Linked DNA regions of Oreochromis niloticus. The protein of the gene in region 1 interacts with the protein of each later gene in a pairwise test. Links are inferred from orthologs where the notes say so. Each region holds a gene or a part of one and is shown on either strand. Other genes may lie near its edges.

Region 1 (7,881 bases):
TTATTTGAAGCCCAGGTACATGGATATTACATGGATAGAAGTGTATATCTCAGAAAGTATGTAAATATGAGATTTGAGGACCTGAAAGTGTAGAGCTAGTCACTTAAATTGATAAATGTTTTCAGTTATTGCCCTTATTTATTTTAATATTGAGTGATTTGTGACCAAAGTGCTTCAATACGAGATATAACATAAGATGTAAGAATGAGGATGTAAAATGAAGAATAACTGAACTGGCAAAAGATTTCATTGGTTAATTTAGTTGTTCCAGTTGTTCTATTCCATTTTAATGAGTCTTTTTAAAACCATTTATTAGACTCATCCACATATTTGTTTCCTGCTTACTTCTTAGACTTCTTAATTTATTCTCATATGATCGTTTCATTGTTACCAATAGAAATGCTTTTAGGTGCAGTTAATTATTCAGACAAACAGAGGAAGAAGAAAGTCCCACCTGCAGGTGAAATGTGTTTCAGCCTCTCCCTGTGTTACCTCTGCAACCTTCTCATTCGAGTGTAAATAGCCATGGGTAAAATGTGTGTACTTTGTCATCTTTCACTTCAGTCCTTAAAGGTCCCGACACCAGGACAACGGGCTACTGCTGAACCCAATTGCTGCCGGCTAGTCACCCCGGTAACAGTTGCCGTGCAGCAGGACCCTGATACCGTGACTGAAGTTTGGCTGAGCAGCAACTCATCAGAGCTCCCATGAGTAAACTGGGCTTCCTCCTCTGTCCTTTCTCTGCTTCTTCATCTCATTCCTGAAACTCACTCCGGCTCTAGAGCCGCACCCTGCTGTATTTCTGCACTACTGTTGTAACACAAAGGATGCAGAGATTAAAGCGCTATCAAGGTTTATTAGAGTGGAAGCCCCCCTCTTTCCCTCACACACCTTATTGCTCACACTGTTGATTCCCACAGCCAATGTAGAAGACAAAAGCTGGGGTTGAGTTATCTACAGCGCTGCTCGTGAAATGTACCTCGTAGCAGCAGGGATACCTTGATAGCGTTTATCTCTCCCTGCACCACTGACTCTTGATTTTTATTTTCTGGGTGTTGGCCTCCACTGAGAAGATGAGGTTCTTAGGGAACTAACGGCTAATTACCTTACAGGAAGTAAGGGTGGCCAGGGTGGCTATTAACAAGGCAATCTAAGCTTGAACTTCAACTAAACACATGCATTTTTCTGCTATACGTGTGTGTGTGTGTGTGTGTGTGTGTGTGTGTGTGTGTGTGTGTGTGTGTGTGAGGCTGAAGAGCTTTTTTTTAACCCACATAGCTGCTCTCTTTCAGATCCTGTACTGATTACACGTCACCATTCTGTGACCTAACACTGATTGCCTTAATCTTGCTTTAACATCAGATTTAACAGTATAACCATAGAAAATAGGACTAGGACATAGGACTAACTGTTCAAACCCTTATTTTTCCCCCTCCTCCAGCGCTCGGAAGCGGCCGATTCCATACTACCGGCCCAGTCCTTCATCTTCCAGCTACGACAGCAGCCCGTCACAATCCAGCCGCAGCCACAGCCGCAGCTACAGCAGCTACAGCCGCAGCAGAAGTCACAGCAGGAGCCACAGCAGGAGCCGGAGCCAGAGCTGGAGCCGCAGCCACAGCTGGAGTCGCAGCCAGAGCCGGAGCTGGAGTCGCAGCAGGAGCCGCTCCCGCAGCCACCACAGTTATTACAGCCGCAGCAGCTATGACAGCCCGGGGTTCTGATGGCGACCAGCAGAACGAGAACAAAAAAAAAAACAGGAACAAAAGTAGGAGAAGTGCTGTTAAACCTGCTGCACTCCGGTAGATTCATTACGTATCCTTAGCAAGTCCTCGGCAGGGGCCGCACTGCTGTACAGCCCGGGATCCAAACTCCTTCACCATGGACCATTCTGTCTCTAACACAGAGCCTGGATCAAAGAGAGGAAAATGTATTTTGATATAGCACATTACCATGAAATTGGCTGTCACTGTTCATGTCTTCTCACACATTCAAGGAAAGGTTTTTTCTTTTTTACGTGTCTAAAATGAATTGGCTGAGCCCAAAGAACAAATGTATGTTAGCACTTTCCTTCTCATCTTCCACACAGCTACCAAAAATACATTCAATAACAGTTAATAACAGTTATATAAGTATATATAGATATATATCAAATATATCCTGAAAAGAGGGGCTGAGTAGACGAAAAGAAGACGAAAAGAAGGCAGACACATCGAAATCACACAGCTTACTGTACATTTCAGAGAATCACTTCGTTTTCTCTCATCATGTAATCATCAACCCCAAAGACTTCCAGTTCATCCAAGCACACAGATCAACAAAAAGAGAACAAAAGAGAAGTCAGAGGATGAATCAGGAAAAGAAATAAAAATAACTTTTTTTTTTCTTTTTTTAGAAGAAAACTGTATTGCATAGATTTGTCTGTACAGATGTAAACTCTCTTAAGTTTGGCTTTGTAAACTATGCACTGTATATTCCATATAGTTTGAAGAGGTATGTTCAGCATGATTCATCAGGAGAGAGTCAAGGAACCTGATGGAAATGATAGGTGCCAGCAGGGTGAATCTGCCCTCCCCCTTCCCCCTGACCTTTGCAAACAGAGGTTAATGAACGCATTACGTTCGTTATGCTAATCCTGTGCGAGAGTGTGTTCGCGTTTGTATGTGTGTGTGAGTGTGAACCTCCTTTACAAAGATCAACGAGGTAATGATTTACGTGAGCTGCTGTATGGTACCATACTGCAAAAAGTCTCCATGCACATTTGTGAGTTGATCTCAGCTGTTTATGAAACTTGCTGTATTTATTCATTTATTTATTGGGTTATTTATTGTTTAATGTATTTATCATTTCGCTGTGAAGCAGTTGGATCATGGTTTGGAGATGGGTTTGCTGCAGATTTGAGAAAAGTACTGTAAATGTCCACGTTATGATACAGAATCGGTTTCTCATTGCAAAGGTTAGCTCCTGTTATCAGATCAACAAGCAGTGCACAGATGCATTGCTACGTGTTTAAGGAGCTCTGATTTTTGAGCCAGTTGAACTGAGCGTTCACCCACAGTTACTCCCACCACTGCCATTATTGCGTCCCCAGCCGTTATAATGATTCATGGTAACGCAGGGCCGCTGTGGCTCTGCCTGTGCCGAGGGAGGAAGAGAACTCGGCCTGAAGCAGCCTGAAGAGTCTATTACTCTGCTGTACATTTCCAGTCACTCCATATTTCAGTCCCTTGTATAATTGGCCACACGTTTCTAGCAGAGGTCTCCCCGGTTGCTGGCTACAAAAGATAATGAGCGATGGCTTGGCAGGCACGGCAGCAGGCTGTGTCTGCACCTCCATGAGGGTGGTTAACAAACAGGTGATACAATCAGGGATCAGCCTAAGTCTTCCTTACCATTCACCCGGTCTCATGACATGCATTTCCAGTGTAACCACACTTATCCCAGCTATGATACTCTGCAGCCTGACCATTTATTCCAAGTATAGCATTGCCCCTTTGATTCTACAAATCATTCTTTGTATTGTACAAGTTATTATACCTGACAATAAACAGAAACAAATGGGGAAATGATCCAGTTTTTGAGTTCTTCTCTCTGCCTTCAGGTGCAGTCAGCGATAACTTGTTGGTGCTGTGTATGTATTTTCCTACAGATGGCACTGATGAGAACCTTGACCAAAAACATGAAGCCTCTCTCTATTAAGTAGGCTAGAATGTTCTCCAGCTGTGGGGAATTACTGAAACGTCGAGGCAAACTTGGGCTGAGAGGAAGACGTGGCTTATTTTAGAGGCAGATATCACATCCTGTGCTGTAACTTTGAGGGATTAGATTTCTTACACTAAGACCTGAGCCAAATCTTCCACAAATCAAATACTTACTTACTTTGCCATATATCAAATAAATTAACATAACCTCCATTTCACTGTCACATCTATTTTTTAAATTAGCCTAGCACATTTAAAACAATAGAAGCTGACCCAAAGTGCTTAAGAGACAGACACATTTACATTCCAGGTCTTCAACTACTTCATGTGCAAAGTAAAAATCATGATGATTTAGTGGTCATTAAAATGTATTCAGATTTTGGAAACTGGCAATTAATCTCATAAATCATGACATACTACTCCCCCCTAGATAAACTGCCTTCATAGTTTAAAAATATGTGTACTAGTATTAGTAATACTGGCCGTGTATTTACTTGGTTTCGGATCGATACCAAAATTGCAGTATCACGCGGCACTAACTAATCCAGTAAACAATGAAAGACTGTCAGGTTAACAGAAGACTTGAGACACTACAGCTTGTTAATTCCCTCTTTGTGACAATGAAGTATCAATAGGCAGGTGTGAACATGGTGGATTTTCCTCCAGTTTTAATGCAGTCAAGTCATTTGCATTCATGTACCAAACTGATATTCCACTGTGTATTTCATTCAGGGCTGACTGGGTTCATAGCACACCATAGTGTTGTTAGAAATAGCATGTTAGCTTGTAAGTAGACTGACAGAAGCCTCCCAGATTCTTCTGGCTCTTTGAGACGCACAGGGAGAGGAGAAGGGGGTTTACACACAGCACTCAGGGCATTGGGCAGCTGTTACATGGGAGGGCCTTCCTGTTGAATTCCATTCCAGTGCTACGTCCGCTACAAATAGATATTCTAGTGCTTTCCTAAAACATTCTGGAGGCATGAGGTATTGGGCTTGAGTCTGAAGGGAGGGTTCGGTTGATAAGGGACCACCCCTTATCAGTGGGTATAAAAGCTCTCAGCTGAGAGGCAGACAGCACATTAAGAAAACACTTCCAGAGAGGCCAAGGGGCTCTTGATCTGCACACAGCAACACTCCTCTGAAGCTTAGAAGAAATACCCAGATCATCATGGCTGAGAGACGTATTCCTTTCACCTTGCTCCGCACTCCGAGCTGGGACCCATTTCGTGACTGGCACCAGAGCAGCCGTATCTTTGACCAGACCTTCGGCATGCCCGCCCTGCCCGAGGACATCGCCGCATTCCCCAGCACCCACTGGCCAGGGTACCTGAGGCCATCCATCCTGGCCCCAGAACTAATGACACCGCATGCCCCTTTGATGTATCCAACCCACATGATGGCTCAGCAGGCTCAGGCTCGGGCCCTGTCCCGCCAGCTGAGCAGCGGAATTTCCGAGATCAAGCAGACCCAAGACAGCTGGAAAGTATCGCTGGATGTGAACCACTTCTCACCTGAGGAGCTGGTGGTGAAGACGAAAGATGGCGTGGTGGAAATCTCGGGTGAGCACTTATTTGATTTCTGTCGCTCTCCTTATTGAATGATTTAAAGGTCATAGTGTTTTATGTCCTGAAACCTAATGTGTCATATTCCAGTCAGATGTTCCTTGAGTGACACACTTTATCATACACCTACATCTCTTTATCCTTAGAAGACAGCTGTACTGGTTGGTATGCACACTGTCTCACTTTGGTGTTCTTAAGTGTCTCTTTTTCTTCTGTAAAACAAAAATTGATAGAACTGAACAAAGCATGAGGTGGTTACATAGTTACATAACATATTGAGACAATAGAGTAATGTGTTCAGGGAGTTGGGAGGGTCAGGGGGGTTTGACTGTAAGCCCACTGGACGCAAAACAAGACACAGTTCAAAATGTGGGAGTTGACTTTTAAAGAAGCTCAGGCATGAAAACAATGTTAAAACAGCCTCACTGTCCATCCAGGACGGGCAGGAGCAAAGCAGACCTGAAGAAAGTGTGGAACTGATCAGATAGCAGCTTAGTTCTCTGAAGCCCTGTGCTCTCTTTTCTCTGAGTGAATCTCGGCCTCCCTGCCTGCTATTTCACAAAGGATCCCATTCTCAGAGCTGGGGATTTAGCTGCAGCTCAACCAGTAGGTCCACTACTTTAAAAGGACTGCTGGATCTTGTCCAGGTCCAGGGTTCAGTCCCTGACTGTACCCAACGTCTCTCCGCTCAGAGACTGGACCTCATCATAAACACTGAGATAAACAAAGCACAAGATTCAATCCAAGTGGAATTTGCCACCCCATGTTCCACCCCATGTATCACCAGTGACCCAGGATGATATTTTAAACACGACAGTGTAATGAAGAATTTTGTAAACACACCAAAGTGCGACCTCTCTCTAGCTGTCGCTCAAAACTAATGACCCTTCATTTAGCTGTTGAAAAAGTGTGTGTTACACAAGTAATTTGGTCCAGTTAAAAAGGGGACACCACTCTCTGGACCGCAACCTTTATCGGTCCGTTGTCACAACAAACATATTACTGTATTCAGAGGCAGAATGAAGGGCAGCGTTTCAACTTCATAGCAGGGCATCTGAGATACAAGAGGCTGATTAAGTCTGGTGAGGATCTTAAGTGGCCGGTGTGGTTCAGTAGCACTGAACTGCATGAGTTTTAGAGTTAACCTAACATATATGCAAATTAAAACTCTCTGAAAAAATCATTTATGAAACATTTTAGAAATCTATGAAGACATGTATGTATATCCTTAGTGCTTTACAGCTTTTCTTGATTGCTGTCATGCAGCAGTCAACTCAAACAGGCCTAACAGAGGCACTGACGGTCAAAGTGACACATTTTGTTTATGCCTCCAAAAGCTAATTTTGCTTTCAAAACAACACAATTTGCAAACAAGTATATTAGATTTTCCAATCAATCATTACACAATGGACAACAAAATACAAAATGCAGTGCTCAGTGGGATCCAGAATCAAAAATGCTTTGATGCAAACTGGCTGAAAACTGAAATACTGTACATGTTACAGAAAATACATAAATGCAAAATGAATACAGTAAACCAAAATAAAATCTATTACAGTATAAGAAACAGCCGCTATTGATACTCAGTCCCTTCTGACTTGACGAGTTGGCCACAAGGCTTCATCCACATTAGACTCAAAATTCTCTCTCACAATGCACCGAGGAAAAAATCTTCTTTCATGCCGTATCCAACTTTGACATTCCTCCTCACCTATTTCTTGAGCTGCAGCAGTCATTGCATTCAGAAAGGGTATCTGCTCATAGGGATGGTGATAATAAACTCCTCTAAGGGATTCAAAAATGGGGCACATACTAGGAGGAACTGCATCATTATATGTGGGTGTACTGTAAACCACTCATTGGTGGAACGCCACATTATCCCAGATAATGGCGAAGAGGGGCATGACAGTCCTCAACAGCCCTCTGTCCTCAGGCTAGATCAGCCTCTCATGAAGTGTATTCAGGAATGTCATGAGTCCTTCGGTGTTGTATGGGTGAATAGTGGGGATATAGCATAGGACACCATCATTGGAGATGGCAGAACACGTGGGTATGTTGGTACCCCTCTGTTCTGGAACTATGAAAGTGGCCCTGTATCCAGTGAGGTTCCTTCCACAACTCCTGACTTTACAGGAGCCGACTTCATCAACATAAATGAAGACATGATGTGCCCCCTCAGCTTCAAGCTCCATTCTTCTCTGAGTAAAAGCAAAATTACAATGAAAAGTGACTCCAGTTGACTTTAACTGAATGATATGACAAGGCATTACAGCATCTGGCCTCCTTCACAACCTCAGAGTTCCTTTGAAATGGAACTCTGTAGAGCTGCTTCATGGAAATATGGTTGCTTTTCAAGACTTGGTCAGTGGTGGTCAGGCCCACGTTGTTGAGGTTCCTGATCTGCGATCACTGCTGCCCTGATTTCACGGAGCCTTATGGCATTGTTTGCCATAAGGCTGCGTGAAAATTGTCCCTCTTCCACCAGAGAACGGCAGTTCTATAAAGAATACATGTAATGGGAATGAGGAAACAATTACATGAAGTATATTGCTGAAGATATTACTACACAGCAACATTACAGTGTTTCTGTTTAAAGCGGTTGTACTCTTTGTCCAGCCT
Region 2 (7,397 bases), on another chromosome or scaffold:
GGACCAACAACTGCTTAAGGTTTGGTTTTGGCACTTATTGATGATGGTTAGGTACCTGACCAGTTTAAAGCAAATGCGGTGAGCAGTTTTGGAAAAGGTGAGTGACACGCAGATACAAGACTGTTGACTCTGTTCAGCCAGATTTAATTTTGGGTGAAGCATTTGCATCTCTCACTGGAAACTCTACATCCAAACGTAGAAAATTTACTTTCTGGGATTTGCTTACCTGGTTGATTAAGCATGCATCAAAACACTGACATACAGTAACATCCAAATATTTGCAGGAGGATTCAGTAGGACTTTGTGTAATTCATGTGTAATTCACTATGATGGTGAAGCTTTGTGGAATAAAGCAAACCAAAATGTAAATAGGGGCGAGATTAACTTGATAGGATGTGTCAAAGTCTGTTATTTATTTTGTGACCTGTCAAATGTACCCGAGCGTCACAAAAATGAGATGTATGTTGACATGATTATTTAAGGCCAAGTAAACAATCTAAATGTCATATAAGCAAATCCTTAACACTTTTCCTCCAGAGTAATAAAAGCCAGCAGATCCTTTTAAAACCGTAAAACTTTATTGATGACATCAGTTCATGAACAAGCAAAAGACTTAGAAAAGGTTATAAACACAAAAAAACAAGTCCAAGATATTTTATCTTTCTATCTTGACGTAGTGCTCTCCTTGCTGTCTACCTCTCCTGCTCGTCTGTTTTCTCTCTATTACATTATGTTCTTCTTCGTCTCTGTTTATGCTCATAGATGGCCGGGGGGGATTCAGTCAGATGTGCTGTCACCCACTCCTGCATCCACAATTCACTTCTGCTCTCTCCTGAGATTGGCCGTATGTTACCATGGCGGTGACATTGGCTGTGGGTTCTGGAGGTAGGACATCACAACTGCTGAGATGGACAGCCTGAAGACAGCACAGAAAATGGGATCAAAGCATCATGAAAACTGTGCAATTTAGGTTTTTAAAGGCATGTTAAAATTTTGCTTTGTAGCACCTTTTTCTGCAAAGGGGAGCTCTTTAAAATGACTCATTGTTACACTGCTTACAAAACAAAAATACACTCCTGGTTGCTTTTAATTGTATTATTTTGCTGAATACTTGGGGTATTATAAAATCCTGCAGTTGAGCACAGCTAAGAGTAGAATTTGTGCCTGAACCTTTTGAAGCTTCTATGGGGTAAATTCACCCACACACGTGGGACCATTTTCATCTGATACCCTCAATGTCATACTTGCCCTCCACTGTCCATTCATCCTGCACAACCACTTGGAGTGTCCTAAATTTGGCCTTGAACCAGCTTCTACACACACAAGGCTGGTGCCTTTAACTGGTCGTCTGACATTATTTGCCGAGCCAAACATTTTGCATTACTAATCTTTGAGTGCATTAGGTTCATTTTTAATACGACCTCATTCAGACAATGGACAAGAAGGCTTTTCCTCATTGCAAATCTGTCTGTGAAGCCTGGACAGGGGCCCTACTGTAGTGGTCTTTTATAGGCAAATGTACCTCCCAGATGGGTCACACATTTAAAAGCTTTTGGACATTAAAGCTGGCTTGTCTGGACTTGCAGTTGCAGAAAGACACAAGGTCTAACCTCCAATTTCAAAAATGCAGACTCCTACCCTATAATCTAAACATGTTCATTTTACTGGCCATTATAACTAAGAACTAACAAAAATAGTTTAAGTTTGTTCCAGTTTGAGCCAAAAAAATGTTAATTTTATATCAAATGGCTTTAACATAGATAAATCTTAAACAATATACAAAGCAGTGCTACACATGCATTGTGTAGTGTGTTTATAGTGCATCCACAGATGGGATGGTATACTCACATGAAGCTGCTCATCATCTGTTTGGTGTCCTCTGAGCTTCGGGAGTTTGCAAAGCTGATGAACGAGCAGTAGACTGCGATCCATGCACACCACTTAAGCTGAAACACAAACACATGAGTCAGCTTTAGACTGTGTTTATGTTCTGACGAGCTTATTAGAGATGTATAACAAAAAAAGGTGAAAAAGTTGCAGGGCTGAAATCTGCTAAAGAAATAGAGGAGCATCTAACAGCACAGCTCCTAAATTGCACTTAACTGGTACATGAAGTACATGAGGAACAATTATGTGGTCTGGAAGTGCTCGTATCACAGAAAGCATACAGAGATGCTTAACACAGCATAACCCGTGTGGGGGTTATGCTGTGTTGAGCATCTGTTATCCCATTTGGACAGAGGTCCAAATAGGATAACAGCATTCCAGGAAAACTCTAGTCTAAAGCCAAGGGTGGTCCTGATAATCTGTTTTCAAACAAGCCTCTGAATCACTAAATGCTTAGCTACAGTATTGAGTAGAGAATGGAACAGAAAGAACATGAATCACATGGGCTCAAAATAAGACTCCACAGGTTTTATATACTGAGGAGCTGGAAGAGTAAAGTGTGTTTAATGCCTGCTTCAACTGATTCAGAAAGTTGCATTCTCACACAGGGATCCTTTAAGTAATGTCTACAAAGTGCAAATGTGAAAACAGCAAGAGAGTACGTTTTTAGGTGTTGCCACTGTTTGTACACCATCTTCAAATGCAATCATTCCCAGCATTTGCCTAAAATTTAAGATGCTCCTTCTTAATATTTTGCCTTGAATCAAAAATGAGTAAAAATTGTCAGTTGGTTATTAAAAGAAAGTCAATTATAAAAATGTTCTCCTTGGACCTTGAATGAATGACTTCAGCTCCATCGTCTTTTTTTTTTCCCCACTCATTGTGTCCTTTGTGGTCACGTCGGTAGCTGCTGTTCATCCTTTCATCTAAAAAGGCAGGTTTACCTTTAATCTTCTAAATGGAATGAATGGGCCTAAGGTCTATCCTTCAGGGGCAACACATGTTTATGTGGACACATAAATATGCAGAAAACAAAGGAGATGGAAGTCAGAGTTTTGGTGTGAGGAGGGTTTTGTGTGTGTGTGTGTGTGTGTGTGTGTGTGTGTGTGTGTGTGTGTGTAGGTCACCTTGAGCATAAGTCCACACATGCTGAAGATCATGCCGAGCAGGTTCATGTAGTCAGGTGTGGGGTCCTCCAGTGTCGGGTTAGTCTCTGTGCTGGGAGGTTTGTACCTGTCATGACACAAACTTATTTTAACCAAAGACAACTAAAAGGGAAACTTACTGTTTTTTTGGTCACTGTTAAAATCTCTGGTCCTAAGTTTATATAAATAAACACACATTTTACACAGCTGAAAATTTTCTCTACAAAACTTTTGACACTATAAGACTTTCATATGTTGCTACAGAAGTCTTCCCTGCTTCACGATGTCCTTAAAGCAAATTTTGGAACCTGACTATAGGGATTTTCTCCCATTCAGCCACAGAAGCTTTACTGCAGTGCCAAACTTGCACTTGATGTTTTTGATCCAGTTTATCTCACATGTTAAACTCAGTTCAAGTATGTCCAAAGGAGAATCACCATGTTACCAAAAAGGAGCCATCCCCAGTGTTTCCAACAAGTTATTGCCTAATTTATTGGTACTGGTTGTTGTTGATTTCCTGCTGTTATCATTTTTCCTACAACAACTTCTTAGTTAACCATTGAACACCTTTATGAAAACCGCTACTGACGGGCCCGAAACAAAGCAATCTATGACAGCTAACTCAAAAGAGACCCATTGGAAATCATAATCGTAAATAACGGTGAAACAAAGATGGGAACAGGTTGGGTTAGTCACGACGACTTTGTGTAAAATTAAACAACCAAGAGCGGACAACATATTGATTAGCTGCCATTATACAGCTGCTCTTCAGCAGTATATATTAGGTCCTACAGCTAATTCGCCCAGTTAATCCTTTCAGGCTCCACTCATTATAAATGATATAGGTTAGCTAGCTGTTAGCTCTATTCTATAACGTAGAAACTTGTTGACTGAATTAAACGCCCACCTTAAGATTTTATTTTGCCTCCTCGGGTCTGCCATATTGTTGGATAACATAATATGTTTCAAGGTCTTCCTATTGTAAGCAAATGAAAATAAGTTTAAACTCCGAAAACCGACAGACAGCTGACCAGCTACTTCAGGAAAGGAGTCGACAGAGAGAGTCGTTTCCGGTGTATTTAACAATAAAAGCTTAACGCAATCCTTATGCCAATATCAAAGCGGTAAATGCTTTTCGAGCTTTTATTTTGACGGGAATAATTGTTCCCATGATGCATTGCGTGCCTGTGCTAAAAACATGGAAGAAATGATGCGAAGGAGAGGGTTATAGTAACAAACTGAGCAAAAACGTTACTTTTAATCAGGAATGTGAATATGGCACGTCCCTGAAACTGTCTTTCAATAAAAGTAAGTGAGCGAAATAAGCTACATAGAAATAAATAAAGTTGTCTGCTTTAATTCAAGAGGTCCTTTAAGTCATTCATGGATTAAGGAGAAATTGCCTAAATGTATCCGATAAACGTAAATAGTTTAAATGTTGGTATGTAGTGCTTTTGTGAAAGCTAATAAAACTGTCTGTATGACAGGATATCATACTCTGTAACTAGCTTAAATTTTTGTAGCCGTGTAAACTTCTGGTCTTAAATCTACAGCTACAGCAGACTATGCGGAAGAATTTAAGAGTTTAGGATCGCCACAGCATGTCCTTCACTTCACCAGTTTGTCTTCTCTGTGGTCTTCCTTTTTTCCTCCCAACGGGCACCTCCACATCCTCTGTTCAATACTGTCTAAACCATCTCAGCTCTGCCTTTTTGACTTTGTCTCCAAACTGCTCGACCTGAGCTGTCTCTCTGATCTAATCTAATTCTAATCTTGTCACTTCCAGTGTTGCTTTTTATTGACCCCAGATTTTTAAACGTTTCCCCTTTCACTACCTCTACTCTTTGCATGGTCAACGTAACACCCGCCTCTTTACCATTTATACACATGTATTCTGTCTTGCTTCTGACTTTCATTTTAGAAGGAGATGCTAATGTGGGTAGCTAAAAGGTTTGTGTGTGTTTGTTTTAAACAGAGGTTAAGTGATGGCATTTCCTCAGCCCAGACCTCAGGCTCCTCAACTTCCTCAACATCTTCTCAGAACCATAGACTGTCAGCAAGGAGCTGTCAGGGCTGTTCGCTTCAACAGTAAGAAAAAGCTAAAAAAACAAATCATTCTCAAGTTGAGTCTATTTAGCTGCTGGCATAATATCAATTGCCAAATCTTGTTGAAATTGTATGATCTTTATTTCATTTGTTAAAAGTATGTAAGCTCCATTCCTCAGTTCTGAGTTATCCACTTATATCAGCTTGTCTCTGGGTCATGTCTTTTAAGTTGATGGGAACTACCTGCTGTCTTGTGGCAGTGACAAGTCTTTAAAACTGTGGAGTGCAAGCCGAGGCACCTTGTTGAAGACGTACAGTGGTCATGGATACGAGGTTTTGGATGCTGATGGGTGAGAGAACTACCACGGGGTTGTCTACGGGGTTTTAGTCTCAGGAATATAGCCCCAGAAGTAATATAAGCAAATGTTTAAAGTGTATAAAATAAATGAATGACCTTTTCTCGTTGGCTCCTTGCACAGGTCCTATGACAACAGCCAGATTTGCTCATGTAGCTCAGATAAGACAGTGATTCTGTGGGACGTCGCCACCGGCCAGGTCACACGCAAACTCAGGGGTCATGCCGGGGTCAGTCCTTCTCTTTTTAGCTCTGTGTTTCACTTTGGGCATCATGGTATTTCATTTGAAAAACATCTGCATGTTTTCATGGCGGCTGCACTGTTGTTTGTGCCTGTGTACTTGTTTTATGTAATATTTTTTTCACTGTCTGTCTCCTTTTCAAATTTTTGTTTGCAGAAAGTTAACTGTGTGCAGTTTAATGAGGAGGCAACAGTCATATTGTCTGGTGAGTCATAATGACAGTAAATTATTTATGGAATGTGGATGTTCTAACTGGTGTCTGCCTTATGTTAAAGTCAGTTATCTGTACATTCTCAAAGTTTCCATGCTTTAATCATCCAACTTGAAACGTAAACTATTTTTAGTATTTCTTGTATTTGCTTAGCAAATGTATAAACTATTACATTTGTATTTACTGGGTTTTATTTTTATGTATTCTCATCATTCAGGGTCCATAGACGGGACAGTTCGATGCTGGGACACCAGATCCAGAAGATATGAGCCAATCCAGGTTCTAGATGAAGCTCGGGACAGCATCAGCAGCCTCAAGGTGGCACAACACGAGCTGCTTACTGGGTCAGCACTTCAGACATAGTTGGGAAAAAAAAACAATCTGCATGTTAAGAGTTTCACAAATAAAAACAGAGATTTGATTCATTTATTCAACTATTTTTGTTCATTTTTGCTATGGAAGTTTATAATAATAATAATTATAATAATGATAATGATCTTGTGTTTTAGGTCGGTGGATGGCAGAGTGAGGCGCTACGACCTGAGAATGGGACAGCTACATGTTGACTTCATCAGCAGTTAGTAATCTTTTTCATAACATTTTTTTAAACTTTCACACAGTTTAATCTCAGCAGATATTACTGTTACATACTGATTTTTGTAGCAAAACAGTTTCACTGAAAATATAAAACCATTGAAGTGTTTTTATCCTTGCGTTCCAGGTCCTATTACCTGTGTGTGTTTCAGTCAAGATGGTCAGTGTACCCTGAGCTCTAGCTTGGATTCAACACTCAGACTTCTAGACAAGAGCACCGGTGAAATGCTGGGAGAGTGAGTGCTGATTGTTTTCACTTACAGTGTGATGTGCTGCTACTATGGCTTCATAAAGTAAAAGCAATACAATAAATATTGTTTTTTTGTTACCTCATTATGATATCTGAAAACTGAAATCTGAAAACTTGTTCCCTGACAAGCTGACTGGTTGCAATATTTTCTTTGCAACCAGCCATCAGCTTGTCAGAGAACATTTGTCCCTCGCGACCGTTGGTTGTGCTCTTGAGTAATGTCCGCATGACATCACTCGAGATACCTCAACATTTAACATAACCTCAGGACCACATGACATAAACTGAAATTTAGAAATTAGACCACAGTTAACTTAGAGTGAGTAATTACAAGATTCTAAATCGTACGATTTACTGATGTAAATAAGTTTTTTAACTCATGTTTTTATCATATATTTGTTTTTATAGGTATACCGGACACAAGATGAAGGGCTACAAATTGGATTGCTGCCTGTCCAGTAAAGACACCCACGTCCTGAGCTGCTCAGAGGACGGACACGTTTACTGCTGGGACCTGGTGGAGGTAACTATGCATTTGAATTTGATTTTCGAATGGTACTTAAAGGGCCTCTGCAGAAAACAACTGTTATTAAATGAAGTGAACAACATCTGCATTCTGTCAGTCACTTTTGCATCAATGTGGTTTGACATTTGTAATCATTGGTTA
Region 3 (7,534 bases), on another chromosome or scaffold:
GAGCATCTTATTGTATGATTTAAATTCAATATATTTAGACTGGTTGACTGAATTTGATCCTGTGTGTGTCTCTCTGTGCTTGTGGGACTTTTTGCAGCTGTCCATTTTGCTTTTCCAATTTTTCTATTTAAGTTATTACTATTGTGCTAAGTCATAGCATTTGTGCTGCTTTTCAGTATTTGTGCTAAATACAGCATTTCTGCTAAATCATACTATTTCTGCTATTTTATAAGATTTGTGCTAAATACAGCATTTGTGCTAAATCATACTATTTCTGCTATTTTATAGGATTTGTACTTAATATAATATTTCTGCTTAATTATAGTATTTCTGCCATTTTATAGTATTTGTGCTAAAACATAGTATTTCTACTAAATGCAGTATTTCTGGGTAATCATTGTATTTCTATATATTTCTGCCAGGTCCCCAGGGAGTCAGTCCTAATATTCAAATTTACATATCAGGACCTGGACGGCTTCCCAGCCAGCCAATCATATCTGAGTCCTGGCACATTTAAATTTGCATATTGGGGCATTCATGGCTTCCCAGCCAGCCAATCATATCTGAGTCCTGGCACATTCAAATTTGCATATTGGGACCTTCATGGCTTCCCAGCCAGCCAATCATATCTGAGTCCTGGCACATTCAAATTTGCATATTGGGACCTTCATGGCTTCCCAGCCAGCCAATCATATCTGAGTCCTGGCACATTCAAATTTGCATATTGGGACCTTCATGGCTTCTCAGCCAGCCAATCATATCTGAGTCCTGGCACATTCAAATTTGCATATTGGGACCTTCGTGGCTTCTAAGCCCACCAATCATCTATGTCATATATCTCTAATATTTCATATTTTTATTTTAAATGGTCAGCATTTCAAGATTCCCCTATGTCTTCTGAATAAAATGGTCTAAGAATGACTGTTTTAGCCCCTACGGTTAGAAATTTATGGCTGTTTGTTTGAGGGGAATTCTCACTATGAGAAATAGACTGCAAAAATCCTGTCTCTCTCTGTGCTGCATGTGTAAAAGCCTGCACTTAGTGCACCAGTTTTGGCGGGAAAAAGCACACAGCCTCTCTGATTGGTGGATTCAAATTGAGAAGGTCACAGCTGTTTGACTGACCTAGAAACATGCTGTTAACAGCCCCTGTTGACTTTCTGCTGCTGCTGCTGCTGTGTGTGTGTGTGTGTGTGTGTGTGTGTGTGAGACAGAGAGAGAGAGAAAGGGAGGGCGAGAGAGAGTTTTTATGGGAGCATCTTATTGTATGATTTTAATTCAATATATTTAGACTGGTTGACTGAATTTGGTCCTGTGTGTGTCTCTCTGTGCATGTGTGTTTCAATATGTGTCCATATTTGTGATTGTGTGACTGTTATACTTTTTTTTGCTGATTTTCTTTTCATTTAACAATTACATTTGAGGGACCCTTAGCATGCTCAGGATTTTTTCAGCTGTCCATTTTGCTTTTCCAATTTTTCTATTTAAGTTATTACTATTGTGCTAAGTCATAGCATTTCTGCTGCTTTTCAGTATTTGTGCTAAATACAGCATTTCTGCTATTTTATAAGATTTGTGCTAAATATAGTATTTCTGTCAAATTACAGCATTTCTGCTATGTTGTACTGTTTCTCTAAATCATAGTATTTCTGTAATGTTTAAGAATGTTTGGCTAAATATATTCTTTCTGTTATCTTATACTATTTCTCCTAAATTCTTGTATTTTTGAGAAGTTATCGTGTTTCTAGTAAGTTACAATATTTCTGCTAAGTTCTGCTATGCTATTGTATTTCTGCCAAGTATTATGTTTCCTCTAAGATATTGCAGTTCTGCTAAGTAATTACATTTTTGCTAAGTTCTTATGCTTCTGCAAAGTTATTACAATTTTTTGCAAAGGTTTTACAACTTCTGCAACTTTTCAGCTTTTTCAGCTAGTTTCAGCTGACAGCTTCAGCTTTACAGCATCCACACTGCATTTTCGCAGGAAATGCAAATTTTTCTAGTTTTAGTTGAATTTGGATGTTGGGGCTTTCCTCTTTATTTGCAACTACACAAACAGATATGACCACCTATTTGTTGCAAGTGATCCTTTTGGTGTTTTTTTAATAACTAAACAAATGTCCAAGTGACATTTCCAAACTAGATGAATCTGTTCTCCATCCAACTTGACATGTATCGATGAATAAAAATACTAGCTTGCAAATATCAGTGTACACTGTGCACACACTGATGTTATATTGCTGAGGATGATTTTAACAAATAGTTTATCTCTGGTGCAGTCTGATGGTCTGATCAGAAATAATATAGTATCTGCTGCACAGTGATAGCAGACCTCAAGAGAATAACTAATCGCCACTAGGTGTCACAGTGGCTGTTTGTAAAAGATGAGCCAGCACCTGCTCTCTGTTTGCCTGTCTGCCACATTCAGTGTAGAGTCTTATGTGTTACACGTTCCTCTACCAAATCTACAGAGTAACTCTGTCAGGGAGCTTTTAGAAAATTATACTAGCTAAATAAATGATTAAAAGATACACTCAAATTAGGCGTATTTTTCCTGTGAAAACAGGGATAAAATAATATTGGATTCAAGCACCATTTGCTGGAAGCAAATGTCACCTGCACTGGATGTGAAGGTATTCTCAGTACCTGAGATATTTTGACAATTTTGAACATTTTGAGGTCAGCTGTTTTGTATTACATGGCTTTTATACACTTTTCTCTGTGCAGGAGAAATGAAGATCTCTTAAAAGGTAATGTGAACTTGGCTATCTGTGATAAATCATTATACAAACGAGCCAAACTTACTAATTTGAACTCAAGGAAATAGGCCATAGCATCCGGAAAAGAATATTGAATACTGCATTACTCCTCAGAATGTATGTCAGTTGGCTGATAACAGAAACACTGAAAATAAGTCTGTCAATAAGGCATTGCACCACAGGTTTCTAGAACAGTTTGCAAAAAAAGAAATTTGTTATGTTTTCCAAAATATTTTGGTAATATTATAATTAACATTACCAACCTGTGCGTACGCCTGGTGGCTAGAATATCTATTTGGGGGCTTTTTTTTTCAAGCACACCAATCATTTTAGTAACTACTGTCATCATTCTGGAAGAATGAACTTTCATCAGGACCATGAATGCTTCACTGTAGGACAAATGTCATCACTCTGTATGACTTTGAAGTGACTTGTACGTACAATGGCAATGCAGGGATTGAAAAGGGATTCACTGGACCAAATCCCCACCTGTAAAAAAAGAGGCGAGCAGTCAGAACTCTTCGCAAAAATGAGGTGAGGTCCCTGTATTCTTCTTTTTTTCTTCTTCTAAGGCAACACAAGTTTGCCTTTTCAGAGCTATTCATCAGACTGTTTAATTTTTCCCTGCTGCTCAGTACATTGCTACATTTTCTCATACCTGAGAAGATGTAGTTTCATAGGCAGGTAAAGCTGGATTTTTAAAAAAGGTTTAAACACTGGAAATTAAAAAACTAAAAAATGGAGAATGTATCTCTTAAGTTTGAATCTCGCACCACATTGATATGCACAGCAAATGTCATTTTTTATCATAGTCTAACCATTTGACCCTTTTTCTACAACTCTCATTATTGATGATGTTTACTTTTAGAGCAGCATTTCAAGCTGTATCCTACGTAGTGTCCCAATAAAAGAGACCTACATTTATATTCTGATAGTGGACTTTTTTTTTTTTTTAACAATTTCATATAAATTTAGAACTGTTGACAGTAGAGTCCAGGAAAGTAATGCTGAAGTAGCAGCAGATAGTTGCCCCTCCTTAAAGCGGGTACTTCCTGTTAAGATGGTGTTTTTCTGTTCCACCTTCACCCAGTGCCTGCTCATAGGGGGACGTTTGATTGTTGGGCTTTTCATTCTAATGCTTTAAGCTCCTTACCTTGCAGGATGAAGTGCAACATTTGCTATGATTTGGCAGTATGTAAATAAAATGAACCTTAATTGAATTCCTCCTGAAATTGACTGTCTTTAAGTTTGTGAGGGGGGGTTTGGTACTCCACTACATTTTCAGAGAAAAATTTCTCCTAAATATCACATAATCAGACCAAACTTTTTGTGTTATAATCCTTCCACCGTAGTTCTGCAAGGAAACACTGCTCAAGAAACTGAAAAGGGGATTTACTTTTTACTAAAAGTATTGCAACTGGGTCAGCTATCTTGACTAAGTAAGTTTGGTTTGATTAACTCAGTCTAACTATAGATTGTCTGTGTTATTGCAAAGAATGGAATAACTTGTACTGAAAGTGATTTAGTAGGTGTCTTCTAATTGTCATTATAACAGCAAGAGTAGATACAGCAAACAGTAACTACAGCAACAAGCTCTCAATGTACATTAGCAATAAAACGGGCCTGAAACTACAAAACATAAATAAAAGGGCATTCATCTTTTGTAGTTTCACTTTTGGTTTGTCAGGTAAGCTACATTAGGATAACAAGATATATTTTCATTTTAATTCAGTTTTGAATGTGCAAATTTTACATGTACTTCGTTGTTATACATTTTACTGGTGCTAAGATGTCAAGTCCTCCTGACGCTTGAAGGAGCACCTGTCGTCCCAACATCCTTTGCGTTTCCAATATGGAAGAACTGGCGGTGGAGGTCCGTGGCTCCAACGGGGCTTATTACAAGGTAAATACCGGCTTATCAATACAGTTTCAAGCATAAAAGTTTTTCATACGGTACAGTATTCTAGTTTAAGTCTCGTGGATTGTGGCAACATGATCCGACTTCCTCTGTACGTACCCGAGAGTTCGATATTAGCTTGTACTAGCAGTGCTAGCCATAATTAGCAAGCTAAGCTAGCGTCACTCCCATGTCCTCGCCAGCTGACGCTTTTGAGGACCTTTCTTTAAAGCCAGTTTGGAAGAACCGCAGTCTTGCATGCGATAACTTGAATACACAACACAGGGTAGCAGTTATTAATTTTACTTGACTTCTTGTGCAGCTTTCTCGAGCTGAAAGTTAGCTAACTTGATAGTTGCCTAGCTGTTGACGTCGAAAGATGTTGCTGAAGTAAGTAGTATCTGCATGTGTCATCATTGGCTATTGAGCTGATATCAGAAACACGGAGGACCAGCCCATTATACCTTCACGTAGTTTATTAAAGTGTGTCATGTTGTGAAGGCACCGTGGTTGGTGGTGTGAGAGATTTTGAAGTCTCTCTGCACAGACTTCACGACTGACTGTCGCTGTCTATTATTTGATACTCCATCATGCCGAAGCTATTTTTTCGGTATGTGTGAGCCAGCTGTTCCTTGTCAATCCCGACCAGCTGGCATGTGTGTCGAGTGGGTCACTGATACCATCGACTCTAAAGCTATTTCTAGACGTGCTGCCCACAGCAACACCCTCGCCTCTTCTCCCCCTATGTCTCCTCTCTCTTCTCATTTTTCTCCAAACTTCCAAGTTTTTCTTTCTTGTCTCACCTTCACAGCCCATGACTTCTTTTGTACTACTGCATTTTCACACTGTGCTCATTGCTTTTCCTTATTTAACCCAACCCTTTTCCCTGGGCGATTCTGTCTACCCTGCCACCGCTGTGTCTTAAACTCTTTAAACATACGTGTGTGTGCTTTCTTTGAATGTAATCAACACCGTCCTTCACGCAAGCGAGACACATGGCTTAAATAAGTGTCTGAACGCATTGAACCTGGGGTTCAGTACTGTCAAGTGTGGTGTGTGGGGTTGGGTACCTTTCACGTCTAACACTAGCACAGGTGTGGTGCCAAAAAATGATCCACTGTCAAAACTGATTTCTGATGTTTCTGTGTGTGCGTGTGTGTGTTTTCTTTTTGTTGTTGCTTTTTTTAATGATATCTTTACTTATATTGTTAAATAGACTGTAGTCATTAGAATTTATGAAGGAGTTATACGTTAAGTAAAGAAGTTACTAGTTTTACAGTGTTTTTACGTCTCTCTGTTATTGTGCCTGTGTATGAAAGAACTGTGATGATATATTTGTTGCGTTTTCCACTGCCCTCTTGGCCAGATCTCTCTTGAAAAAGACTTTTGTAATGTCAATAACACTTTTTGGATAAATAAAGGATATATAAAAGTAATTTTGCAGCTTCTACCTTGTGATAGGAATGTTGTTTGTAGCATCAAAATGACTTGATACCTTTCATAAGAGATATATTTGCCATATGTTTGACAGATTATAGGCTAACAAGTAATTTTACAACAGATAAAACAGATTTTTGGCAAATACTGGAAAGCAGTTCAAAACTTTCTCTTGCAAAACAAGTCCATACTTATCAAATCTATCATTTTGTTATTTATTTATTTATTTATTTAGATATTTTACACACTAAACTATCTGTGTTGGTCGCTATCTGTTACCATCAGTGATGCTGATGTCACTGTCGCAGTGTTAACATACCACAGTATTAAATAGTAGTGCTAGACTATTATCGGTTGTGGTTACATATTAAGGTTTCAGACATGCTATCTCACATAGTGTAAGAAAGTATGATTGTTTACTGCAGATAATATGCTAATAAATGCAGTGTTAAATATGTTAAAACATAAACTAAGACAGTGACAACAAAGCTCTATTTCTCTGACAGTAATTGATCTAACTCCCAAATTACCTGAAGAAGCTCATGAAGCTGTCAGTGTCTCACTAAAATACTTTTCTTCAGTTCATTGCCACTGTCCTTTGTTTTTGTTGTTCTTTTGTTTGTTTTCTGGTACTGAAATTTGACAGAAGAATAGCACCAAAAGTGAAAGGGAAGATTTTCAAGAGGGTATTGAAAGTTGCTGGTTTCACTGCCTGCAAGTTTGGCTTTGATTCAAAGAGAGGAAGCCAAGCTGGAGGTGGCAGAAGTGAAGATGTTTAGATTTTCAGTAGAAAATGTAATGAATGGACAAGATTAGAAATTAGTACATCAGAGCAACAGCTCAGGTTGAGCATATTGGAGACAAAGTTAGAGAGGCAAGGCTGAGATGGTTTGGACATGTGCAGAGGAGGGACATAATGGAAAAAGGATGTTGAAGATGGAGCTGCCAGGCAGGAAGAAATGAGGACATCACAGATGGTTTATGGATGTAATGATGGAGGACATGCAGACTGTTGGTGTGACAAAGAAGAATGCTAGGGATAGGGTGACATGGAAGCAGATGGTCTGCTGTGGGAACCCCTGAAGGAACCAGCTGAAAGAAGTCTTTGTTTATGGCTTTCAGATTTTACTAGTCCAGTTTTAAGATCTCTGCTGCAGAGATTTAACAACAGTATAGTTATTACATTTTTTCATCCATATGAAAAATTACAGCCATTGACGATCAGTTTACTAATAGATAAATACCTTGGTTTTATTTTGAAAGTTTGGCTGCTATTACTCATTGAGTGTTGTGGCGGTCATCAGTATCAGTCAGCTGCTAATTGACATCCAACATCCTGAAAGTTGGAGTGAAGCTGTGGGAGGCTAGGCTACTTGGTTATTAAATTATTTGCAGGGGAGAAAAGTATTTAAAAATCAGATAATATAAACACATTATGTAA
Region 4 (8,106 bases), on another chromosome or scaffold:
ATGGGCTGCAGCAGCATTAGACCACATTGGATGACATTCCTGTCAGCTACAATTCACACAGCTACACCAAAAACCAGATAATAGAAGATTGGACTGTTTCCTGATCTGATTAATCTCAATATCTGCAGCAGCATTCAGACGTTAGGGTCAGAATTTGGTGTGAATAACATGAATAACATGAATGCTGAAATCATAGCACCTGCCGAAACTGGATATCTGACAATACTCACTGTCCTGAGTGCTCTTAGGAGCTGGAGGTTTGCGCGTAGCCCAGTTAGTCCTGATTTGGCGCCCTCCGAGCCACTGTCCCGACATGTTAATAATGGCATTCTCTGCATCCTGTAAACCCAAACCAAACGATTACTCATGGATTTGATAGATTGATAAAACTCATTTGTGGCCATGCATTACTCTTTTTCATTTTAAAATCAGAATTCTGAGATTGAAACTGAAACTGGTGATTAAAATAGGAAATTAGTAATGTTAGATGCTTGTAGTTAGGATAAGACTAACTATGAATAATTGAGTTTTAAGTGCTGTGAATGTATTGAAGTAGGATAAGAAACAGAAAATAGAAATAACCTTCAGTCTGTGTTCTCGCACTGGAGCCTTACCAGTTTGTTGTAGAAGGACACAAATCCATACCCCTTTGATTTGCCTGTCGTCATGTCCTTCACAACTCGGGCATCCCTGGAAGGAGAAATGAGAACAACTTCAGCACACTTTGAAGTTTAAATCTTCTACACTAAAACAAAAAAGGAACCACGCAAAACACAATGAACTGTGAATCCTCTACTCTGTCCGACATTAAGCTACATTAGCTATCATGACCTTGTACGGAGTACTGACTCGTAATATAACTTCAAAGCAACACTTGAAAAACAAGTACAAATACATGCAGCCTACAGTACTGTCTTTAAATCATTTCTGACGTATTAATGGATCTTTACCACTAGAGCACCACTGTTTGCTCAGTCCTCACAACAGTAGGCTACAGATTTAAAAATCACAAAGCAAATGGCTATGGATTACCATGCATTCTTATAAGCTGCTGTTCGTACTCTTACTACAGACAGAAATAAATAGAAAATATCAAAAAGAGAAAAAAGGAATTAAACGGCATACATGGCCTGTTAACAGATTTCTTTATTTTTCCTGGTCAATTCTTTACCACCAATATGGAGTATGGAGTTTGGGGAGCTGCAAATTTTGAGAAATTGACATTTTCAGAATTTTTGGAAGAGGATCATGGCACTACAAACAACACTATGCAAATCAAAAATAAGACAAAAAACACAGATTTAGAGGAAGACATTTTGTATTGGAATTTGTTAATCTAAGCTAGGTCATGTTAATACATGGCATCTACAAATAAAGACATATGGAAAGAATGGAATAAATAGAGAAAAAAACTACATCTGAGTCTCCAGAGTGCACAGTTCCTTGCTGTTAGCCTTCAAGCTCCTGTCCAATCCTATGAGCATTTCTGTAAAATAACCAAAGTGCTATTACTTCACTGAGACTCAAAACTAAAAGCTGTTCAGGTACATATACACAGCTTACATTTTGCTCACATGCTGTACAGTTTACTTACCACACCCTACATATGCATAAAAAAAACTGACAGTTCAGTCATAAAAATAAAGACATAATAGACCGACCACATTGTCAATGCAAATGTGTCGCCACTCTATATCTAAAAACAACAACAACATAATTTTAAAGGTATTAGTTACTCCATGTTTAAGTATGTTTACATGCATCGATGTGGGGCCTTTTCTACTCAATGTAAGCAATACTCTTTGTGACAATAAAGGGCTATTCTATTCTACTCTATTCCATTCCAGTGTTAATCCTTTCCTGTTACACATTCATTATGTTGTCTGGTTCGTTTTTCTCTCCAAAAGGTGTGCACAGAGCGCCAATTTCCAGTCCTTGACAATCAAACATAATTGTCTTTCAACCAAAAAGATTACATCAGTAATGCAGGCCTCATTGTGTAATGCAACTTTCTGTTTCACCTTTACAACCTATAAAACCTGTTTCTCAACCGACTGGGAGGAAGAAAAAAAAAAAAATCAGTGGTTGGACTGAAACATATTGTATTACACATAAGACAAGTAGAAAAAAAATACACACACACAAACACTCTCACACTCACACACACGTAAAAACTTACGATATTTTCCCAAATGGTGCAAACGCAACCCTGACATCCTCAGTAGTAATCTCTGGATTCAAATCACCCACAAAAACATGGAAGTGATCTAGTACAAAAGAAAACACGAACATAGTAAACAAACTATTTGCTAATCCCCAGTAGACTCTGATTCCAGCAGAGTGTACGTGTGTTTGTGTGCGTGGTGGTGTAGGGGAATCAATAGGCGATCGCTTACTGGATGTGTCTTTCTTCTGGCTACTTGGAGTGGTGGCCCAATTTACTTTAACCTCCTGAAAACAGAATTCACAGAGAGCACTTAAAACTGTGAAGAAGACTCAGGAAAACAATGTTGTATGATATTCAAGGATGAGAGGCATTAATACAACAAATAAACTTAATAACTTTGCATATAATTTTTTAGAGCAGCTATGTCCTACCTTTCCTAATATCTTCCTCCCATTCATGGCTGCAAGGGCTGCAGCAGCATCTCTGTGTTCAAAGAACTCCACAAAGCAATAGGGATCATTGCTCGTGTGCTGTAAGGATAAGATCAGACACAACAGATTAACAGTGTGGCTCAACTAAAACTACAACTAGGTGAAAATGTAGAAAACAAGATAACCCAGCAACCTTAGCTGCTTACCTCTGTGATCATTTTACAGCTTTTGCATGGTCCTATCTGGGTGAAGAGCTGCAGGATCAGAATTTCTGTTACATCCCTGGAGAGGTTTCCCACATACCTAGAGGAGGAAAAATAAAAAGAAGTCCACTTACTCCAGGAAACGAGCTATTTACTTTGAAAAAGTGAAGCACGGGTACTTCGTTTCTGGTATTACAGTATCATTGGTGATTATGAGTTTTTGAAGTGAAGTTCCTTACAGTAGTCTGTTTTTAACGATGTTAGTAACATCTAACAGACAGTTGTTAACACTTATATATAACTCACATATACTTATTAATTAACTCTTATGTCAATTAACCTGAAAATAGTGGAGCATAAACGCTAAATGTTTATGTCGTCCAGTTGTTTGTGGAAACAACAGCTAGCTAATTTAGCCACCGAACACCGACGATAGCGAAACTAATGACACGCAACGTTACTGCCGGACACGAAAAACTACTTACAGGGTTCTGGGGTGGGTTTCGTCGTCCATAGTCGATGCTGACAGTAACCAGGGAAGAAAACGCCACTTACTAGCTAGTTATAGCTGGTATTAACTGGCAATTAGAAACCACAACTAGCTAACTAGCTTAGAAGCTAGCTAACCGGGCGCCAGAGCATACGTCACACTGTGAGAGTCCAGAGTACGTACGTGCGTGTGCAGGAAGAGACCCGTCACATAAGGTTGAAGTAATAAAAGGCTTTTTGCGTTCTTAATAGTAAAAAATTGAAAATTTCTTAAAGACCGTTACTTCTGAATGACACCATTTTTAAAAAATTAACTGTAAAAAGCCGAAAGAGCAAACCTAATGTGTACTTATTTTATTAATTTTGGAAAAGGAAGCTGCATACGAAACTCTTATTTTGAAATGCAATGCAAAGGTACGCTTGTTTTCAATGCCGAGATTTGACGGCTCAAGGCAGTGGCGCGAACCACCAGGACCTTTCTCGAATCTGAGCTCAGATGTCACTGTGAAGAAATTTCCCGTTTGACTTGTACATTCACGCTTTATTAACAAACTCTTTTAAATGCTTAGTCACAACAAGGCAGTGGTTGTGGGGTGGGGGATGGAAGGAAATTATATGTCAAAGTATATGTAAAAAAAGTTGAATAACAAGATTGTTGAGTTTATTGCCTGAACTGTTGTGATAACCCTGGGTGTACAGAACCAAAGAATTGTACTTTTTTTTATACTACCCAAAGACATTTTTTTTTCTTTCCCCCCTCATTTTTATTTTTTCCTTGTGGTTTAAACTTGGCGCATAGTGGGCGCTTTTATTTTGAAGGACTTTTATTAAAGGACAAATGCGTAAAAAATGATCCCCTGTCATTCTTAAGTCTACTAGTAATTTTCCATAAAAAATACTAAAGACTTTAGTTACTCTCACTCTTTAATGTTACTGGCTCTAATTTGTGTTGCGCAACCGCGATATTTTTACAGCCATAAGAAGCCGCTTGAGGTGGATTAAGAAAAGCGTGGCGATGGGTAATTAACGGTGATATAATTGACAAGCTTGCAAAAATTAAAGTTGGCTTCCCCTCCTCGCAGGCAGATATCCAATTAAAACGAATTGCTCCCATAAACTACTTAATACATATTTTATTACTGTCAATCACGTGTGTATTTTCTGGTATGCCAAAATGCAAATATTAGATGTCGTTGCCTGCAATGTCCAAAATATCAAACACCTTTAAAAATCCATGTGTTGAACGTTTGTGACACTGTTAAGTCCACGAGATCAAAGGTTTGCTGCACTGGTGTTTTCCTTGTAGTACAGGGCAGAATTGGAGTAGTCCTTTGATTAAGAAAGATCAGTCATTAGACGTGTCACTGTGCCCACACTTATCACACCACCAGTTACATAATTGTGCACCAAATCAATGCAAACCCAGACTGAGTTCCCTTGGACAGCATTTATTATGTGGGAGTCTGAGTACATCTATTTGGAGAACATCTTTTTAAGCAAACACTTTGGGATTCCCTTGTCTTGGAAAATGGTTCAGGGGCAGGGGTCACTGAGGAAGGTCCACAGTGCCCACTGTACACGTAAGGGTGATTACTTCTCTGCCCAGACAGGACACAGCAAAGAGGGGGAAAAGGATGCATGGTGGGGTGGGCAAAAAAAAAAAAAAAAAAAAAAAAAAAAAAAAATATCGAGGGTTTACTCTGTGTCTATGTGAGGGGGGGGTCTGCCTGCGACATAACAAATCTGGGAACCCATGCCACTGTATCCAGCGCTGTCCGCCCCCAACATTAACCCTGCTATTTCGAGAAACTTCCAGCCCACTTTTCCACGTCACTTGAAGGAATCTTTAAAGCGTCCGTCGCCCGTATAAAATGTCTCAGTACTCGACAGCCAGCAATATGAACGGCATGAAGACACAGTCACCGATACTGACCATGGCGAGTAATGACAACGACCCTCTCCCCCTCGGTTGGGAAGTAAAAATTGACCCTCAGACTGGATGGCCCTTCTTCGTGGACCACAACAACCGTACCACAACCTGGAATGACCCGAGACACGACACGAAAAAGGTAAAAGAGCGGCGGGATAAAGTTGGTCAGTTAACGGTAACGGCTAACGGCAGTTTCACCGCTATTTTTTTTTCTGTCGACGTGCGTCGGTTGTGGTGCATGTTTTGGTTTGTTGCGTTGTTAAAGCGGCAGAAGCCTTTGCGCTACATCACTGTTATATATTAGTCTTGTTGACCGTAGGCCCTGTTTGGCACCGTTGCCTCCCCCTCACGGACAGCTCATAAGCCCATTATAACGGGTGATCAACTCTGATATGTTCCCGAGTCATGATCTAACACTATTATTACTCGATGACTCACTCTGCAGCATGCAAAAGGCTACCCATGATGAGCTCCCCGGCATTTTAATGTGTTTCTTTCACGGTGCAAAACAGTGCTGCGACGTCCTGCTCATATTAAACTTTTTCCCTTACAAGGATCGAGGCTGGTCCACTTCGCTTCGGTTGTGTACGGCTGTAGCCGGGCGCTGGCTGCCCCCCGCGTATCGCATTCAGCTGTATTAAAAACCGTGTTGTGAAAGCGCACAGGTCTGCAGAGAAAACCCGTGGGCTGAAGTGAGCTTCACAGCCTGCCAGCTGGTAATCTTTCGTCTCAGAGAGAGAGACGCTGTTGTCCAAAGTTAGTGTCCAGAGGAATCTGCTAGAAAGACACAGCTGTTGGGGGATAAAATTGGTGCAATGGTGCTGGCAGCGTGCAGTGTCCCATAGTGGCAGAGGGCAAAGGGTCGTTCACGGCTATTTCATTACTTTAGTCCTACTGGAAGAATGCCACTGATTTACAGATAAATGCAGTGTTTGCTTTGTAGGTGTTTACTTCGGGTGTGTTTCGGGCAGCTGGTACAACTTTTGTCACTTTTCAGTTATGCCATTAACTGAGTGCTGAACTGGCAGACCTGTTGCTTGTACCCATCCATAGCTGTCATGTGCAGGTGTGTAGTCTAGAGTAATACTAATAGAAAACAAGCGCCTTTCTGCAGTAGAAAATGGAAATTTAAAGCATTGATTTACTAGTCATACGGTAGAACCCAGCCCCTTCTTTTAATTATATTTTACTCTTGTATGTATACAAATGTATCCTGGGATTGTCTATGATTGGATGAATAAATGTTGCTCGAGAAAGAATTTACTGTGCTATGTGGAAAGAACTCATATATTTGCTTTTTTTTTTTTTTCAATCAAAGCAAACCACATTTCCTCTTTCTGTAAAAATCCTAATGTTTGGCTGATATTATTAGATCCAAGGATGTGCTAACTGTTGTTGTTGGATAAGTCAGGACATTCATCCAGGTTATGTTACTCTGATTGTGAAACAATCAACAATAATATTCATCACGGAAACAGCAAGCTGTCTGACGGGAAACGCACCAGAGCCTGTGGGTTCACATATCAAAGATTCAATACTTTTGGCATCCCTCTGCGAAATTGTGACATTTTAACCTATAACCTCTGCAGTTACCTCAGGATGGAAAACACTTTGCTTTTTAAAATTCCTTAATACTTTGAAGAAAAACATTTAGTGGCACATCGTAAAATGTCCTGTTGTACGTGGACTTAAATGCAACTCTTTAAGTGGAGGAGCTTATAGCTGAATATTTAACATATGTAAAAGTAATTTTTCTTCTGTTACACACCCATGAGCAAGAATAGGTTGGCTAAAAATATATTAAAGCACATTTTGTAATCAACCGATGCCTAAAATTTGCAATAAACTACAACAGCAACTGTAATTAATCTGAGTATAAGGTTACATAGATTGCTATGTTGCTATGTTTCAGGTTCGAGAAGTGTCAGCAAATGGACCCAACATACAGCCAGAACTAAGTCCTCAGGAGACACAGAAGACCTTTGTGAGGGAGATGAAGCACCCCATTCTTCGCCCAGGTTATGTTCCCATCCCAGTCTATCATGAGGGTGCAGAACTGAGGCAGCAGCAGCAGCACCCGTGTTATTCCTACATCCAGCCGAGCACTGCACAGAACATCCGGACAGATGGGCGGACACCTTCCCCAACGCCGGGGCTCCACTGCAGGCCTAGATCGCCTTTACATGGCCCGTCAGACAGCTCCTCCGCTGAGCCTGGAAAGACGAGCTCGCCTGTCTCACAGACACCAGAGGTGGGAATTGAGTTTAAATGTGCCACCAGATGGAGTATAATGTTTACAGTAGGCAGAAATGTTCCAATTTTCAAACAACTACTGAATTTTGACTGTTTTAATTTGTTCATTTATTTTTAAGGCTTATACTGTTACGCATCACCAACCTTCACGGCCCAGCAGCACCGGTCTCCAGTCTGGTTATATCCCTATACCAGTGATTCATGAGGGTGGAGGGGGACAAACACAGGTTCAATTAAATCCCTCAGTTTACTCTCAGCGCATCCCTTACCCAGAACATCAGCAGCCCTTCCATCGTCTTCAGACAGATGAATGGCCCGGCTACTCTGCTGCAATGCAGCCCCCCCGGGAACAGGCTTCGCCAACTCTGTTTCCTCAGCACCGCGATACTGCCTCCATTCATCTCCCTCCTCACATCAGAAGCCAGTCACCTGTTATATCACAAGTGATGGGAGAAAGGCCACAGGTAATTTTACTTTTTCTGTGTGGCGTGTTGTTGTTTTTTGTTTTTTTCAGATATATATATAAAGCTTTGATTTCCCTGTTAGCATGCTGTGACCTAGATTTTGACAGATTCCAATAAATTGTTTTTGACTTCTAAGGTTCAGCAGCATATCCTCACGAGAGAGCCGCCA

What was found.
Region 2: the proteins of hspb1 (region 1) and wdr83 interact in binary tests that used the Homo sapiens proteins (3 or more experiments, as listed by UniProt). The link is inferred for Oreochromis niloticus from reciprocal best matches to the Homo sapiens genes HSPB1 and WDR83.
Region 3: the proteins of hspb1 (region 1) and fxr1 interact in a two-hybrid assay, tested with the Homo sapiens proteins (2 studies listed by BioGRID and IntAct). The link is inferred for Oreochromis niloticus from reciprocal best matches to the Homo sapiens genes HSPB1 and FXR1.
Region 4: the proteins of hspb1 (region 1) and bag3 interact in binary tests that used the Homo sapiens proteins (3 or more experiments, as listed by UniProt). The link is inferred for Oreochromis niloticus from reciprocal best matches to the Homo sapiens genes HSPB1 and BAG3.

The regions. Positions count from the first base shown.
Region 1 is NC_031975.2:6,936,520-6,944,400, reverse strand, and holds the start of hspb1 (heat shock protein beta-1), read left to right. Parts: upstream 1-4,868; coding exon 4,869-5,259; intron 5,260-7,881. Other genes in the region: srrm3 (serine/arginine repetitive matrix protein 3), read left to right, coding at 1,442-1,721. UniProt on the Homo sapiens protein: Small heat shock protein which functions as a molecular chaperone probably maintaining denatured proteins in a folding-competent state. Plays a role in stress resistance and actin organization.
Region 2 is NC_031971.2:7,021,336-7,028,732, reverse strand, and holds the start of wdr83 (WD repeat domain-containing protein 83), read left to right. Parts: upstream 1-4,197; 5' UTR 4,198-4,340; intron 4,341-5,007; 5' UTR 5,008-5,017; coding exon 5,018-5,120; intron 5,121-5,307; coding exon 5,308-5,428; intron 5,429-5,557; coding exon 5,558-5,663; intron 5,664-5,831; coding exon 5,832-5,880; intron 5,881-6,103; coding exon 6,104-6,230; intron 6,231-6,395; coding exon 6,396-6,463; intron 6,464-6,607; coding exon 6,608-6,716; intron 6,717-7,138; coding exon 7,139-7,253; intron 7,254-7,397. Other genes in the region: wdr83os (PAT complex subunit Asterix), read right to left, coding at 850-916, 1,849-1,946, 3,015-3,120, 3,940-3,989. UniProt on the Homo sapiens protein: Molecular scaffold protein for various multimeric protein complexes. Acts as a module in the assembly of a multicomponent scaffold for the ERK pathway, linking ERK responses to specific agonists.
Region 3 is NC_031981.2:30,302,531-30,310,064, forward strand, and holds the start of fxr1 (RNA-binding protein FXR1), read left to right. Parts: upstream 1-4,341; 5' UTR 4,342-4,446; intron 4,447-4,548; 5' UTR 4,549-4,611; coding exon 4,612-4,662; intron 4,663-7,534. UniProt on the Homo sapiens protein: mRNA-binding protein that acts as a regulator of mRNAs translation and/or stability, and which is required for various processes, such as neurogenesis, muscle development and spermatogenesis.
Region 4 is NC_031978.2:25,360,005-25,368,110, forward strand, and holds the start of bag3 (BAG family molecular chaperone regulator 3), read left to right. Parts: upstream 1-4,988; 5' UTR 4,989-5,161; coding exon 5,162-5,359; intron 5,360-7,132; coding exon 7,133-7,471; intron 7,472-7,592; coding exon 7,593-7,937; intron 7,938-8,073; coding exon 8,074-8,106. Other genes in the region: tial1 (nucleolysin TIAR), read right to left, coding at 231-339, 615-690, 2,180-2,267, 2,397-2,451, 2,599-2,697, 2,805-2,901, 3,287-3,315. UniProt on the Homo sapiens protein: Co-chaperone and adapter protein that connects different classes of molecular chaperones including heat shock proteins 70 (HSP70s), e.g. HSPA1A/HSP70 or HSPA8/HSC70, and small heat shock proteins (sHSPs), e.g. HSPB8.